4 linked regions of the Cricetulus griseus genome follow. The protein of the gene in region 3 interacts with the protein of the main gene of each other region in a pairwise test. Links are inferred from orthologs where the notes say so. Each region holds a gene or a part of one and is shown on either strand. Other genes may lie near its edges.

Evidence for each region.
Region 1: the proteins of Poc5 (region 3) and Cetn2 interact in binary tests that used the Homo sapiens proteins (3 or more experiments, as listed by UniProt). The link is inferred for Cricetulus griseus from reciprocal best matches to the Homo sapiens genes POC5 and CETN2.
Region 2: the proteins of Poc5 (region 3) and centrin-1 interact in binary tests that used the Homo sapiens proteins (3 or more experiments, as listed by UniProt). The link is inferred for Cricetulus griseus from reciprocal best matches to the Homo sapiens genes POC5 and CETN1.
Region 4: the proteins of Poc5 (region 3) and Cetn3 interact in binary tests that used the Homo sapiens proteins (3 or more experiments, as listed by UniProt). The link is inferred for Cricetulus griseus from reciprocal best matches to the Homo sapiens genes POC5 and CETN3.

Annotation. Positions count from the first base shown.
Region 1 is NC_048604.1:2,886,925-2,891,163, reverse strand, and holds the start of Cetn2 (centrin-2), read right to left. Parts: upstream 2,839-4,239; 5' UTR 2,794-2,838; coding exon 2,692-2,793; intron 2,687-2,691; exon of another isoform or gene 2,556-2,686; intron 2,537-2,555; exon of another isoform or gene 2,408-2,536; intron 691-2,407; coding exon 532-690; intron 254-531; coding exon 125-253; intron 1-124. UniProt on the Homo sapiens protein: Plays a fundamental role in microtubule organizing center structure and function. Required for centriole duplication and correct spindle formation. Has a role in regulating cytokinesis and genome stability via cooperation with CALM1 and CCP110.
Region 2 is NC_048595.1:236,454,193-236,456,562, forward strand, and holds centrin-1, read left to right. Parts: upstream 1-1,297; coding exon 1,298-1,816; downstream 1,817-2,370. UniProt on the Homo sapiens protein: Plays a fundamental role in microtubule-organizing center structure and function. Plays a role in sperm cilia formation.
Region 3 is NC_048595.1:315,069,160-315,072,728, forward strand, and holds part of Poc5 (centrosomal protein POC5), read left to right. Parts: intron 1-301; 5' UTR 302-313; coding exon 314-397; intron 398-2,892; coding exon 2,893-3,010; intron 3,011-3,569. UniProt on the Homo sapiens protein: Essential for the assembly of the distal half of centrioles, required for centriole elongation. Acts as a negative regulator of centriole elongation.
Region 4 is NC_048595.1:302,231,335-302,235,595, reverse strand, and holds the start of Cetn3 (centrin-3), read right to left. Parts: upstream 2,812-4,261; 5' UTR 2,694-2,811; coding exon 2,677-2,693; intron 1,481-2,676; coding exon 1,345-1,480; intron 1-1,344. UniProt on the Homo sapiens protein: Plays a fundamental role in microtubule-organizing center structure and function. As a component of the TREX-2 complex, involved in the export of mRNAs to the cytoplasm through the nuclear pores.

The sequences.
Region 1 (4,239 bases), on a different chromosome or scaffold from region 3:
ATAAATACAATGCTCAATCATGTGAATGGTATAGATTTTATTGGATGAAGTTCTTTTTATGTCTAGATTCCCATGTATCTACCATTATGGATGGGAAGTATGCTCATTATCTCAACTAACTTACCATTTTCTGAGTCATCACTGTCAAAAAGTCACTGAAGTTCATTTTTCCTGTCCCTTCCTTATCAATTTCACTTATCATCTTTTTGATTTCTTCTTTCTTAGGTTCAAAGCCCAGAGCCCTCATTGCAACCTACAACGAAAACAGGATCATCTAAATAAACACATATAAATGATGTAGACGCAAAAATGGCTATTGATGATAATAACAAAATGGTGAAAATGATTAGGGAACACTGTAAAGCTGATTTAATTGATATTTGCAATCAACTTTTATCATTAGATCATTGTTTCAGGTTAAATATACACAGGGTACCTTTTTCTGTTACTTTTTACAGGGAGAAAGGTGATAGGTAAAAGACAAACAACAAGGAAACACAAGGCACCAAAACAGGAATGTGTGCAGCTTGCCTTTAGTTCCTTGATGTCTATAGTTCCAGTTCCATCAGCATCAAAGAGATCAAAAGCTTCCCGGATTTCCTGTTTCTGTTCTTCAGTCAGTTCAGGCTTAGGGCTCATTCTTTTTCTCTGGCCACTGGATGCCATGTTTGTCTTCTTAAAAGTAGAGGCCTTCAGACATTATACAAACACAGAAGCACAGTATTATAAGCCATAGTCCATATTTTATTTATGACAGTTCTAGACATTCATAAATTTTTCATTTATGCTCCACTCTGAGTAATGTACATGTCATTCTATAAACTTTCATAAGCTGGTGAGATGTCTTGCTGCCAAGCCTGACAACATAAGTGAGAACCCAGCACCTACATGGTAGAGAGAATCAACTCTTCCAAGTTGTTCTCTGACCTTCATGCTCAGACTGAGTCCCCTTCTCCCTTACACAAATAACAAGGGTTCAAACTAAGTAAAATTAACCCCAACTCTAAAAAAAATCCTGAGAAGAAAAATAGAAAAACTCTCTTTAATTTAAAACCCCTTTAATAAGTATATTTTAGCTTTTAGTATCACATTGTAAAAAACAGAAAATCAGCAATACACTAATTAAATGACTGTGTTCTACCATAACTGTAAATTAAAACATCATTTCTGTTAATAATGTAATGTCTCACATGATTAAATCCAATTATATTTCACTGGGGAGCCAGCAGCCTGAAGGGACTTTTCATTTTAAAATAATATATTAACATTTTTCTCCTTGTCCCTGTATAGATCAACATAGAGCAAATGAATATATGAATATGAATTTCTGGTGTTAACATGACCAGTTTTTCATCACAGGATATAATTCTGGCCTCCACTGTCTTCAAGTTTATACTACAGATAGTGTATTCATTTGTACCTTTAATAGACATGTCACTTTAGAAAATTAAATTTTTTAAATCAAGATTTCTTAAATCAAAAACTTTTAAATATAAAGAAGCAACATTAGCCAGGCGTTGGTGGCGTATGCCTTTAATCCCAGCACTCGGGAGGCAGAGGCAGGTGGATCTCTGTGAGTTCGAGACCAGCCTGGTCTCCAGAGCGAGTGCCAGGATAGACTCCAAAGCTACACAGAGAAACCCTGTCTCGAAAAAAAAACAAAAAAAAAAGCAACATTAAAAACTCTTTGAATGAGAATAACATGTTTACCTAAAGGTTCAACATGCTTGCATTTTCTCCTTCTTTTCTAAAGCTAGTAAACAGCAAATTTGAGACCATATCTGTTTGTAAGTAATAAACTTATAATTTTATTATGAATAGATTGTCACAAATTTCTATATTGTATATTCAATTAAAGCAACACGGTGTGGTTTAAGTTTTCATTACCAAAGATGAAAAAAAAGATCCCTCCTTGTTCTAATGCCACTGCTAACTCAGACAGCTGATTAATGGAAAAATAATTTATACCAACTGATTCTAAAGATCTGCCTAATAAATTGAGCAATAAGGAAGTTTCCTGGAAAGAACAATTAATGTTTCTATGAACCTCTGACTCTTTAAAAAATATTGATTTTAGAGGCCAGGAAACCCCTTATTTTTCATCCTGAAAGAAAGCTAGGTGAGAAACTAATTATGCATACTTAACAGATATCAACTGTCTGTGAATCTGGGGATCTGAGTTCTAGACATGTACTTAAAACATCAACTTAGGATGCTAGTTCCCAATCCATTTAGCACTTGGTGCCTTGTCTGCGAAGCTCAAAGCATCTCCTGAAAGCCTCAATACATTTGTGACCATCAGAACATAGTAAATCTCTTAGTACCACGCATAAACTTTAGCAGGTGGCAGCGGCCAGGACGCCTGTGTCTGTCTGAGGTCTGAGTCTGTGGGAAGCCTGAGTGTTACCTGCAACAGAATGGTCACCTGTGGTTCCAGGAAAACCAGCAGAGATCAACAGGCAGATTAGGGGTGACTGAAGGTGACTGGGGGCGGGGAGGGTTAAGTGTTGAAGCGCAGGCAGGCTAGCGGCCAGAGGCTGTACTTTTTCTCCTACCCTTCCGGCATAGAGCTCCAAGGAAGAACTAGTACGCCAAAGCGAAGAAGAATGCAGGAAAGGCTGCAGGGCCGCAATGAGGCCTAGGAAGGGCTCGGAGGCACTACGCAGGGTCCATGGAACGCCCAGCACTTACCATCGCCGAATGGACTCCTCCGCGACCGGTTGTTAAGGCAACGCGTACTCGCGGCCTCGGCGCCTTTCCCACTGCTCTGCGCGCGCGCGACCCGCTTCCCATTGGTTTGCGGACGGAGAAGGTGGGGCTAACCTGGCAAGGTCCGCCCCAGGGTAAGAGGGCAGTGTGGTGGCGGCAAGGACTGACGATCTCATTGGACAAAATCGCGCTGTGAGCGTCAACTGGCTGCGCCGGACCCGCGCTAGACCAATCAACGTGAGGAAGGAAGCTCGGCTGATCATGGGCCCATACCTCTCCGTAGAAAAGGGTGTCTGGTCTTGGGTTGAAGTTCGCTGGTTGCAGGTTGCTAACAAGCTGAAGTCGACTGCAAGAGTGCCTAAACCGGGTAAGAGTTGCGGCCTTGCTCATGGAGGCTGCTGCGTGTGAGCAAAAGAGCCGGGAGACAATGAGAGAGAATGGGTGGGATATGGTAAAACCCGAGATGGGAACACAGACTATCTATGGGGCCAGGAAAGATTTGGCCTAACGGGTTGCAGGGGTGACTATTTGGGGCAGCTGAGGCCTAGAAAGGGGAGTGGGCATGCTGACTGTTGTATCAGCGGTTCACGGGGCTGGGACTTAGAAACTCAATGCAGGCGAGTCTTTGTGAATGTAGTTCTCAAGATGATGAACTGGGGACTTTCTGGGTCTAGAAAAGTCATCAGAATGTGCCCTTTTAGAACGTGCAGACACAAAAGTCACATGAGAAGGACCATTCCTGGATGAAACTTCCTTCAAAGAAAAGCTACAGGGATTTTGGAAATGTTGGATGCATAGAGCATTAAACAGAAATGTGTGCAGGGGGGGGGGTGGTGTTACCTGGAACTGTTCCAGAAATAATGGAGGTCCACGGTCAGCTACAGCAGTACCTCAACCATCACACATGCTTCCCTCAAGGCATAGAATATTAGTTTGGGGACATTAATGCCATAGCATCAGTTTCTCAAACTGACAAAGGCCAGAGAAACTTAACAGCATACTATAAATGTAATGTAGGCCGTTTACCTTCCTTCCTTGGAGCCATGAACCAGATTCAAAACTTTTGTATCCCATTCGACCACTCTGTTCCCTCTAGCAGCAATCCCCCATACCCAGCCCCTGGATTCTCTCAGTTCTGCCTTTGAAGTGTCTTTTCTTTTTTTCGGCTTCTTCCCAGCCCTTCATCAACATTATGAGCTGGATTTATCACCAAAGTCTCCCTGGCATGCAACTCCTCCTATCATACCCACACTGGTACACACCTCCTCATCCCTGGCTAACTCCCACCCAAGACACTGCTTTCATGACTGATAAACTCTTCCTGCATTGACCTTACCCAGCCCCATGAACTTTGAAAAAATACAATATTTTGATTAATTCTTTGAGAATTTTTGTCACAGATGTGTATAATTTTTTTGTCATTGTTTTGAGCTAGGGTCTCACTGTGTAGCCCCAGCTGTCCAGGAACTCCCTATATAGATCAGGCTGACCAGTCTCATGGAGATCCACCTGCCTCTGCCTCCTGACTGC
Region 2 (2,370 bases), about 79 Mb from region 3:
TATCCTTTTATTTCTAAAAGACAAGTTTAGGTCTCCATATGTGCTGTGTAATCACTTCCCATGTCCACAATCAAAGAGGGATCACAGTAACTGAATACAACGGGCTATCCTCTAGATGAGGGTGGAACCAACTAGCATGACCAAATGAAAGTATGCAGACTTATTACTTGCAGCACCTAAGGAGAGCATTGGCATTATCTACAAAACAATGCTCTCACCACATAAAGTGTAGGAGTTTTATTTCAGAAGCCTACACATATAAGAAAGGACATAATAGAGGCACTTCTGAGCTTGCTTGGTGTAAGATGTCTTTCACTGGGTTTATTTGATTTAAGGTCATATATCTCAGGCTTAAAAGAAAAGAAAGATGATAGGCATGAAACTTCCAGGCATTTGTGTTGAGAACTTTAAGAGTAGAGTTCTATTTAGGTTACCTTGACTGTTTCCTTAAAGATTTTCCCTATGAGTTTTCAGGTGGACCTAAAAGAAAGAACAATTTGACAGTGCACTCATAGACTTCTAAAGGGACAGTAGATTTCTCCTTTGTAAAGAGAGTTTGACCCTAAATCTACCTTCCTTCTTAGTGACTTTTATTACCAGAGTGTGGATTGTATGATAAGCTCTGAGAGTAAGTATAGTGCTAGGGTTTCTAAAATACATGCCAGCATACCAGAAATATAACACTTCCGCCCTTGTCTGTTCGAGTCAAAAATGCATCATGTACCTCAAACCCGGGTACTAAAGTGAATTCTACTGGGTATTACATTTCAGAGTTGAGAAACTGCCAGAAAACTCTTACTATGGTTAAACATAATGTCAGGAGACAAACTTCTTTAAATTTTCCATGTAATTGCTTCCATCTTATGGTGTGATCTGAGTATTCCCTCCTTCTTTTTAGAATTTAATACCAAGTTATCAATTCAATCTTGATTACCCCACCTTTGTCCTTAGGTAGCTTCAGATTAAGGAAGTTATTTTAATTAGTATGAAAAAGGAGCTTCAGACTTTCAAATAAATACACACAAGGCACTGCAGACACAAACCAAAGGCTTGGAAAGAACTGCATTGTAGAGACAACAGTAGCTACAGCAAGGTTCTTGCCTGCTGGTATCAACTTGCAGAAAGTGAATGTCAAAGTGAGGAAACTGTGGATTATAATGTCAATAACATCTAAGATGGGGCAGGGCTCTATGGTGCAGACACTAGGTGCATAGGGGCTGGCGCAGGCGCAATAGCGGGGGTACCTAGCACACACGCGGGTGGCAGGGCGCCGTTAAGGACCCAATCGTGGTGGAAGATGGCGTCCAACTTAAGGAAGCCAAATGTGGCCTCCACCAGCTACAAGAGAAAGGTGGGTCCTAAGCCTGAGCTCACGGAAGACCAGAAGCAAGAAGTTCGGGAAGCCTTTGACCTCTTTGATTCTGATGGGAGCGGAACCATCGACGTGAAAGAATTGAAAGTGGCCATGAGAGCACTAGGCTTTGAACCTAGGAAGGAAGAGATGAAGAAAATGATTTCAGAAGTAGACAAAGAGGCCACAGGAAAGATCAGCTTCAATGACTTCTTGGCTGTAATGACTCAGAAGATGGCAGAGAAAGATACCAAAGAAGAAATTCTGAAGGCTTTCAGGTTGTTTGATGATGATGAAACCGGGAAAATCTCGTTCAAAAACCTCAAGCGTGTGGCCAATGAGCTGGGGGAAAACCTCACGGACGAGGAGCTGCAGGAAATGATCGACGAAGCTGATCGTGACGGCGATGGAGAAGTGAACGAGGAAGAGTTTCTTAAGATCATGAAAAAGACCAATCTTTATTAAGTGACTGCCTGGGGTTCCTGCTTCCACTTCTGTGAAAGTATAACAGAACAGTGTGGTCTGCTTCCTCTTCCTGCCTCATTTGTCTTTGGTTGGCTTCTAAACCTCTAGATCAATTATAATGTAAGGATACTTACTATGTGAGTTCTGTTGTTTAATTTTGAAGAGCAATAACCTCAAATAAATCTTCTCTAGGCTGGAGCCTGCCACAACCATATCATTACAACAAAACTAGCTCTCTGGACACTTCTGTGATTTTAAATAACATAAATACACTGGTGATTCCTTCAAGTGAGTGTCCTAGTATGGTGAGTTAGAATTCAGGTCATTCAAGCCATTGCTTTTCACTTAAGTGGATACCGCTCTGAAGGATAATAATGAGGCTACTGTAGAACTATTTTAAATTAAGGAAAAACTACTTAAGAACTATTTAAATTATGGACAGATACTCCTCAATAAAACCTTGCTTTCTCTTCAAAAATAAAATATAAACTTTAGGTTTGCTGAGTGTGGTGACATACAGGTATAATCCCAGCACTTGGGATCAATGTATAAGG
Region 3 (3,569 bases):
CCACAGCTCTTCTCTCTAACAGACCCTGCAGGAAACTGTCCTGAGTATTTTTCTTTAACCTTTTATGCATTTAGCTCATCTCTTTCAGTGTATTATAAATGCACTAATGTTTGGAGTAAGGTTTGGGGGAGAGGAGAGCTGATGATTGTTGCCTGTAAGCACTCAACATGTTGAGTGGGTGATTTTTTAAATGACATGAAAAAATGTTTGCAAGTTAAAGCATTGCTCACTAGTGTGTATTTAAAAGCTTTGGCTTAAGCATTATGGGAAACAACCAAAGTTAACATGTGCTGTTTTATAGCTTCTGTACAAGATGTCATCTGATGAGGACAAATTCTCACTTCATGTTGCTCACAATGACTCTGATCATGACAGCTCTGTCTCCACAGACCTTCAGGTAGGAAGACATCTAAATTTATTACAGTTTTTTTTTAAAGCATAAAGCCCTGTGTAATGGTGTATGCCTTTAATCCCAGCACTGAGGAGGCAGAAGCAGGAGGATCTCTGAGTTTAAGGCAGCCTGGTCCACATAGAGAGTTCCATGACAGTCAGGGCTACAAAGAGATACCACCACCACCCCAAAAATAAAGTGTTAATTTGTGGTAAAACCAGACGTATATATTTATACTTACTGATTCCATTTACAATGAAATATTGTATTTATGACATTATTAAACTTAGAGAACTCTCTACTATTTTGGGGAGTATAGTGTAGGGAGACACTATAACCACGCCTCCTAGGGGCTGGCTACAGGTGTGCCTGACCACGCCCGTCAGGGTGACTTGGGAAAGGTTTAAAGGAATAGCCAAGGCACACGGTACTCTCTTGTCTCTGCTGCTTCGGCTCGCTCTGGTTTCGTGTTGGTTGGCATTTACTTATTAACGATATCCTGACTATTACAGGCTACATATTATTTATTCACCATACTAGTATAATGTTGTAAGTTTCAGAAAATAGCCATGAGCTGTTCAAAAGATTTTCTAAAAAGGCTTTCACACAGTGAAATGTTCCTATTTAACTGCCTCTGCTGAATGCCCTCATTCTTAATATAAAGTAACAGAACATCAGCCCATCTGAGGTTCTAGAGCCCAGAATTCTCCCATGTTCTGTGCAGTGAGGTTCTGGTTCCGTTTGCCACAACATTTGGCATAATCTGCCACCTTAATTGGACACTGACAGACAAGTTAGGAGCCCGACTAGGTAAGGTGTCATATTTACATGAGAGAGTCAAAACCCAAAGACAATGTTTTCTAACTGCCTTAGCCGGTGGGAGATAGGAGAAATAAATGACCATTTGCCCAGGTCAAACCCTGGGGCTTATTAATGACAGGAATAAAGGAGAAATGGGTATTCATTAGTAAGTCAACTTGGAATTCTGTATATTATTTTATTAGGGTCAACTCACATTTAGGTTTCTAGAAACCAACGAATGCCTTGTATCTTATCCACATTTATCAAGTTAGGGTTGTCTTTTATTTTAATAACTTAAAAACTTGGGATTTCCTTTTATTTTAACAACCAGGTATAACTGTAGTTCTTTTAATTTAAGAATATTTAAATCTTTTTAAAGAATTAGAATTACTTTTGTCATCAATAATTTAAAAAATTATAATTAATTTACTATAATTTAAAAGAATTGTAACTACTTTGGACATCATGATATGCCAAATGAATTTTTTTTTCCTGACACAGAGTTTCACTTTGTAGCTTCAAGTTATCCTGGAACTCTCACTGTTTAGCCCAGGCTAGCTTCAAACTCCTGGTCCTCTTATCGCCACTTCTTAGTGCTACAATTACAGGTGTTTTCATCTGCACCTGCTGCACCTTCTACTTAATCCTAGAAAACAGTTAAATCTTGGGTTTTATTGCTTTGAAGGGGTGTCACTAACAAAGCATTGGTTATAGACATGTGAAGAGGGCTCTGGTGTTAGCGTTTTCTGTCAGCTGACTTTCTTTTGTCACTCCATAGGTGTCTTCTTTTCTTCTTCCATAACATTAATGTACACTGCATAAAAAAATGTATTTCTTTCACCTAGTGCTCAATGCATATGTGTAATAAATAGAGTCCAAGTTGAAACTCAAACCATCTCACTCTTTCACATTGAAATTTTACAGTTTTCAGACAGAATAGTACAAACTCCTTTTATAGTTTTACCTAAAATTCCAATACTAAAAGAAAGCTATAATCATACTGATTTATTTTATGAACTCAAATCCATGGCATTTTCCTTTAACAACAGCAGCAAAAATAAGCAAGCTACCCCTGTGAGTATGGGCTTGAATCTAGGCAAAAAAATCCTATGTAGTTTCATAAGCTTGAGAATCCAGTTTGCTTCTTTTGAGTTACATAATATCAAGAGAATTCTGGTACCTTGTGTGGTGGTAAATGCCTGTAATGCAAGCACTCAGGCTTAGGCAGGAAAATTGCAGGCTTACTAGAGACCTGGGTTACATAGCAAGTTCTAGCCTGTGGAATGTAGGGAAATTCTGCCTCAAAATAAGAAAGGAAGAAAGGGTAAAAGGTAAGAACCGAAGAGAGAAAATATAAGCTGAGTCTCAATTTAAATACTTGAATTGAAAGTAATAGTGTTTTAAAGCATGTCTTATCTCATCTTCAGTTAAATTGATATGAAACATAACAAAGAAGAGAGAGAAAATATTATATTGAATCACTAATATCCATTACATCTTTAAACTTTTAATTGTATGTAAAAGTCATACCAGAAGTACTCAAAGGAATCAAGCTTAGCATAAGAGAGAAATTTTTCTGTATTGTGGTAAGAACATGACTATTACGTGGTTAAGTAGATTTCTTAACACAACAAAAAATTGAGTGGTTGGATGCAGCATTATAGCTGTCATAATACATCACTGTGATTGGCTTCTCATAGGAAGAGTATGAAGAGCTGCTCCGCTATGCTATTGTGAATCCAAATGTTGAGTCCAGTGCTTCACAGCCGTCTCATCCGAAGGGAGAAGTGGCACCAGACAGATTTCCTACACTAGCAGGTATGCTTTGCTAACCAGGTTAGGTACAGTTTTCAGGATACCACGTAAGATTCTGAGTTTGTCAGTGATGCTGATGGGACTGTGGAAATGTTCCTCACCATCAGTGGTTTCTTCCCAGTCCATGGTGTAAAGCAGTATCTATCACATGGGGCCTGCCTTATATTTACTGTGTTGTCCCTGGCACTTTTGACAGCTAGATTTTTATTTAAACTTCAGTTGACTTTTAACTTTATGAAAATTACTAAAGTCAAAGCAACCCAGTAGTGATTATCTCTTAGTGGATTATGTTATATTCCAGTTCTTGAACCAGAAGTTTTATGCCGAGATTACTTTGAAAACTAAATGCCCAAGCCCATCTTTAAAGATGATCTGGACACCTCCCTCAGGATCCCTTAAGTTACTCTATGAACCACATACTGGTACTCTGTCAGCAGTATTTATGTGGGCATGGAGGATAGTTTGGATTACAGCCCAAAGGTGGACCTTTGTGAACTGTCAGCAGTAGATCTGGTATCTGATACAAGCCAAGTTGTGCTTAATAGAAGGGTTAAACTGATAC
Region 4 (4,261 bases), about 13 Mb from region 3:
CCCATACTTAGATTGCTTAAAACCCCCCTACAATGTTGCCGAATTAAAACTACTATAAACATTAAGGCTACTAAAAGATTTCATAAATGCTAGTAGACTGAATAAGATCCTCACCAATTTCTCCAATCTTTACTAGTAGTTTTGGATTTTTTGTTTGTTTGTTTGTTTTTGTTTTTGTTTTTGGAGACAGGGTTTCTCTGTGGCTTTGGAGGCTGTCCTGGAACTTGTATACCAGGCTGGTCTCAAACTCACAGAGATCCGCCTGCCTCTGCCTCCCAAGTGCTGGAATTAAAGGTGTGCACCACAACCGCCCAGCTCCTTTACTAGTAATTTTAAGCCTTAAATTTGACATAGTCCCTCAGCATGTATCAACATAAGGCATCAGACAATGTACATCCTTTGTAGCAAAGAAAAGAAAAATAAGAGTTTGTCCGTATTATCTTTGAAAATTCAAAGATTGAGCCAGGTGGTGGTGTTGCATGCCTTTAATCCCAGCGCTTGGGAGGCAGAGGCAAACAAATCTGAGTTCTCGGTCAATCTGGTCTACAAAGCTGAGTTCCAGGACAGCCAGGGCTGTTACATAAAGAAACCTTGTCCAACAAAAATATAAAATAAAGATAAATAATAAAAGCTTGAAAGGATACATTTTCAATCTCGGAAACATCTGAGCAAAGGTAACACTCTCTCAATCTGAAAATTGTCTGTGCTGTGCTTAAGTGATAGCTCAGTGGATAAGAGCGCTTGTCCTGCACTCACGAGGACCAGAACTGGAACTGTAACCACCCACATAAAGACAGGCATGGCTACAAGTGTCCGTAACCCCAGCATTGAGGGGTAGATCGGGATGTGATTCCAGAGTTCACTCTCTAGCCAACCTAGGCTATGAGCTTCCAATTCAGTGAGGTGCCCTGTCTCCAGGCAGTAAGGTAGATGGTGATGAAAGATACACAAAGCCCCACTCTGCCTTCCACACACTACACAATGTGGTTTACATGCCTGCACAGGCACATGCACATGCACATGCCACATACATGTTTTTTTTAAAGAATCTGAGCTACTCCGTCCTCCAGAAGAAACCAAAAATGGGAAGAATAAGCTAAGAACTGTTCTTTCACCTGGGTGAATGAAAAAGCCTTACTTCCCACCAAATGTACTTTTACATTTAAATACGAGTTTCTAAAAGCCATATTAGGGTTTTTTATTCAATTTTATTGCAGCCCCTGTAAGTGGATACTGAAAACAGCTTCAGGGTTCTAAAACAAGTTTTTAAAATAGACTTTAAAGCAACAGTCAAAAGTGCAATTCATTTAAACAAAAGAGATGTGTCATCAAATACACTGTTACCTTTAATTCATGATAATCTATTGCGTGGTCTTTGTCGGTATCAAAGAGCTCAAAGGCATCTTTAATTTCTTGCTTCTGTTCTTCAGAGAGCTCTCTTCGTTTTTTTCTCTTTGTTTTGTCTACTACAAGCTCACTTCTGTGACACAGGAAAATGTGTTTAGTCCACTTCAACCCAACTCACTTAGAACAAAGAATGGTTTTCTAAACTTCAACAAAGCAGAATAGTCTGGAGAATAAAGAAGCTGTCCCTAAGTCAACGTCTTGTACTCCAAATGTACTTTTATATACCAAAATCCAAAGCACTATTAGTTGTTATTCATGTTACCTACCAAGAGCATGAAAACAAATATAAAAATCCATGTGAAAGTAAATTTCACAAATGACAACCACGATATATGGTTTACCTTGGACAGCTTCTAATTAAATTCTCACAATTACTACAAAGATTAACCATAAAGCTTATAAGGTGAGTCACTTTAACACTGCAAGTTCAAAATGCTTTCAGATTATACATTTCTAACAGTGCTTTGTGTTTTCATTCCATATTAACCAGCCAAAATATAAAAGCACCTAAACAAATACTAGACGACCAAAATAATAGCATATAATGTTCCTATTTGAGTCTGTGTGATGTTTAAAAGTGTTGTCAGTCTCAACCTATAAACAATGGGTTAAACGTCTTCATTTAAAAACTCTGGAGAAGCGTAAAAGAACATCTAAAAAGGGATTTAGGGCCAAAAACGTCTGCCTTAAAGACTGCCAATGTTTAAATGAGGCACAACACGTGTATCCGCTAGGTTTTAAGAAATGGAAGCTTGAAAGCCTGAAACACGGCTGAGTGTGTAGGCTCTTTACACCTGAAGGGCAGAAGGCTGGCAGGGGCTGAGCAGAGGTGGCCGCCCGCCACACCCACGCCGGGCCACACCCCCGCCGGGCCATCAGCGTCTACCCACTCTACAGCGCCTGCACGTGAAGATGGACAGGGTGAGGAGCCAATGGGAGCCAGTGGGCCAGGTGGGTGCCTGGACGAGAATGGCGGAAATCAAGGGCACCAGATCCGCCGGGGCGGCCGACGCACAGGGCGCCTCGACCGCGGAGAGAGCCTGGCTGTCCCACGCTTGTCCTAAGGAAGGAGGCCGCCAGGCCCGAGTTCCTCACACGCAGGAGGGAAACCTCGCGAGACTGGGCTCCCGATGCGGCGCCGGCGCAGTCCGCAGAAAAGGGCCGCACCGCCGTGATGCTCGGCGCTCTGCACCCGCGCCCGGCCCGGCTTCCCTTCCGCGCCCGCCCTGGCCCTCTGCGGAATGGACACACGGCCTCCTCGTTACCGACCTCAAAGCTAAACTCATTTTCTCTTCCGGCCAAGATGTTCCGCCCAAGGACTTTTCCACGGGAACCGCTCAACAGCCACCAACCTCCCGGCCGCGGGACCACCCACCAAACAGAGATTTCTGGTTGCGATTGGCTGAAGACTGCCAATAGTCGGCCCATTGGGGCGGGAGCCTCGCCGGCCCTCTGTTCTCATTGGTCACCGTTCGTGTCAATCAAGTACCTTTGGCCCTGCTGCCGGTGTCAGTCACCACGCTGGGTTCGGGCGCTCTGGGGGGGGAAGGGAAAATGCTCAGCACAAGCAGTCACTGGGGATCCAGCCCTTGCCACTCAGAAGGTCAAAACGTAAATCTGAGGGCTTTGTTCTCCATTCTTATTTCAGTAACTACTAAGCCACCAAGTGTTTTCCCTTTTCAACGTTTCCAAGTGATTCCAAGAATTCACCCTGTAGACCAGGCTGGCCTCAACCGCAGAGATCCGCCTGCCTCTGCCTCCCAAGTGCTGGGATTAAAGATGTGCACCACCAAGGCCGAAGACAAACTAAAGTAGGCTCATCATTATGTTGGTCTGTTAGTTTATTTACAGAAAAACTACCTAAACCACCGTTTTCAACTTGTGTGCGATTTGAGATGTATTTGTTTGCTTCTGTCCTGTATTTTCTAGTGCTGAACACTGTTTATGTGCCCATGGTCTTCATTACCCACCAGGCCTCCTGAAGCTCACCTGGATCATTCACCTGCTAAACTGAATGGCATCAAAGTCAGGAGTCTACTTTCCATTTAACCGAATGTTTGCACCAAATAAAATACCTGGTATTATTAAATATTAAATTATTAGATAATCTGAAAATAAACCATTTACATGAAGATGTTTGAAACAAAGGACAAAATTAAATTAGAAGGAATAAATTACAGAAAAATAACAAGACAATTTTTGTTTGTTTTTGTTGTTGCTTTTTTGAGACAGGGTTTCTCAGTGTTAACATCCCTGGATATCCTGCAAGTCTTTAGACCAGTCTGACCTCAAACTCAGAGATCCTCCTGTCTCTGTCTCCCACGAGCTGGAATTCAAGGTATGCATCACCACTGCCTGGTAATGTGAGATGATTTTTTTCAAAGGAACTTGATAGAAATAATAAATCGATAAAAATGCTCTCATTTAATATTAAGCTTATTCTTACAACACATAAATTTCAGACTCCTGGGAAGTAAAAGAAACAAACTATTACTACTTAGTTACGCCTTTAAAAGGGAAGTTTAAACAGACCAGCAAAGATAGTGCATTGGTTAAAAGCACTTCTATACCAGTCTGATCTCCACCACCTGCAACCTGCTAGAAACTCATAGTGGAATAAGAGACCAACCCCAAAAAGTTGTCTACTGACTACAGGTGCCATGACTGTGGCACAAACACACACACACACACACACACACACACACACACACACACACTTATAAACTTGATGTTTCTAATACATAAAATGAAATCACTTCAAGGAAAGCAAAGGTAACTTAAAGTTGGAAAACTCAATTTAGTCAATATAGACAAGACTGAAAAGCATATTTCTGTGTCAACTACTAAAATTAAT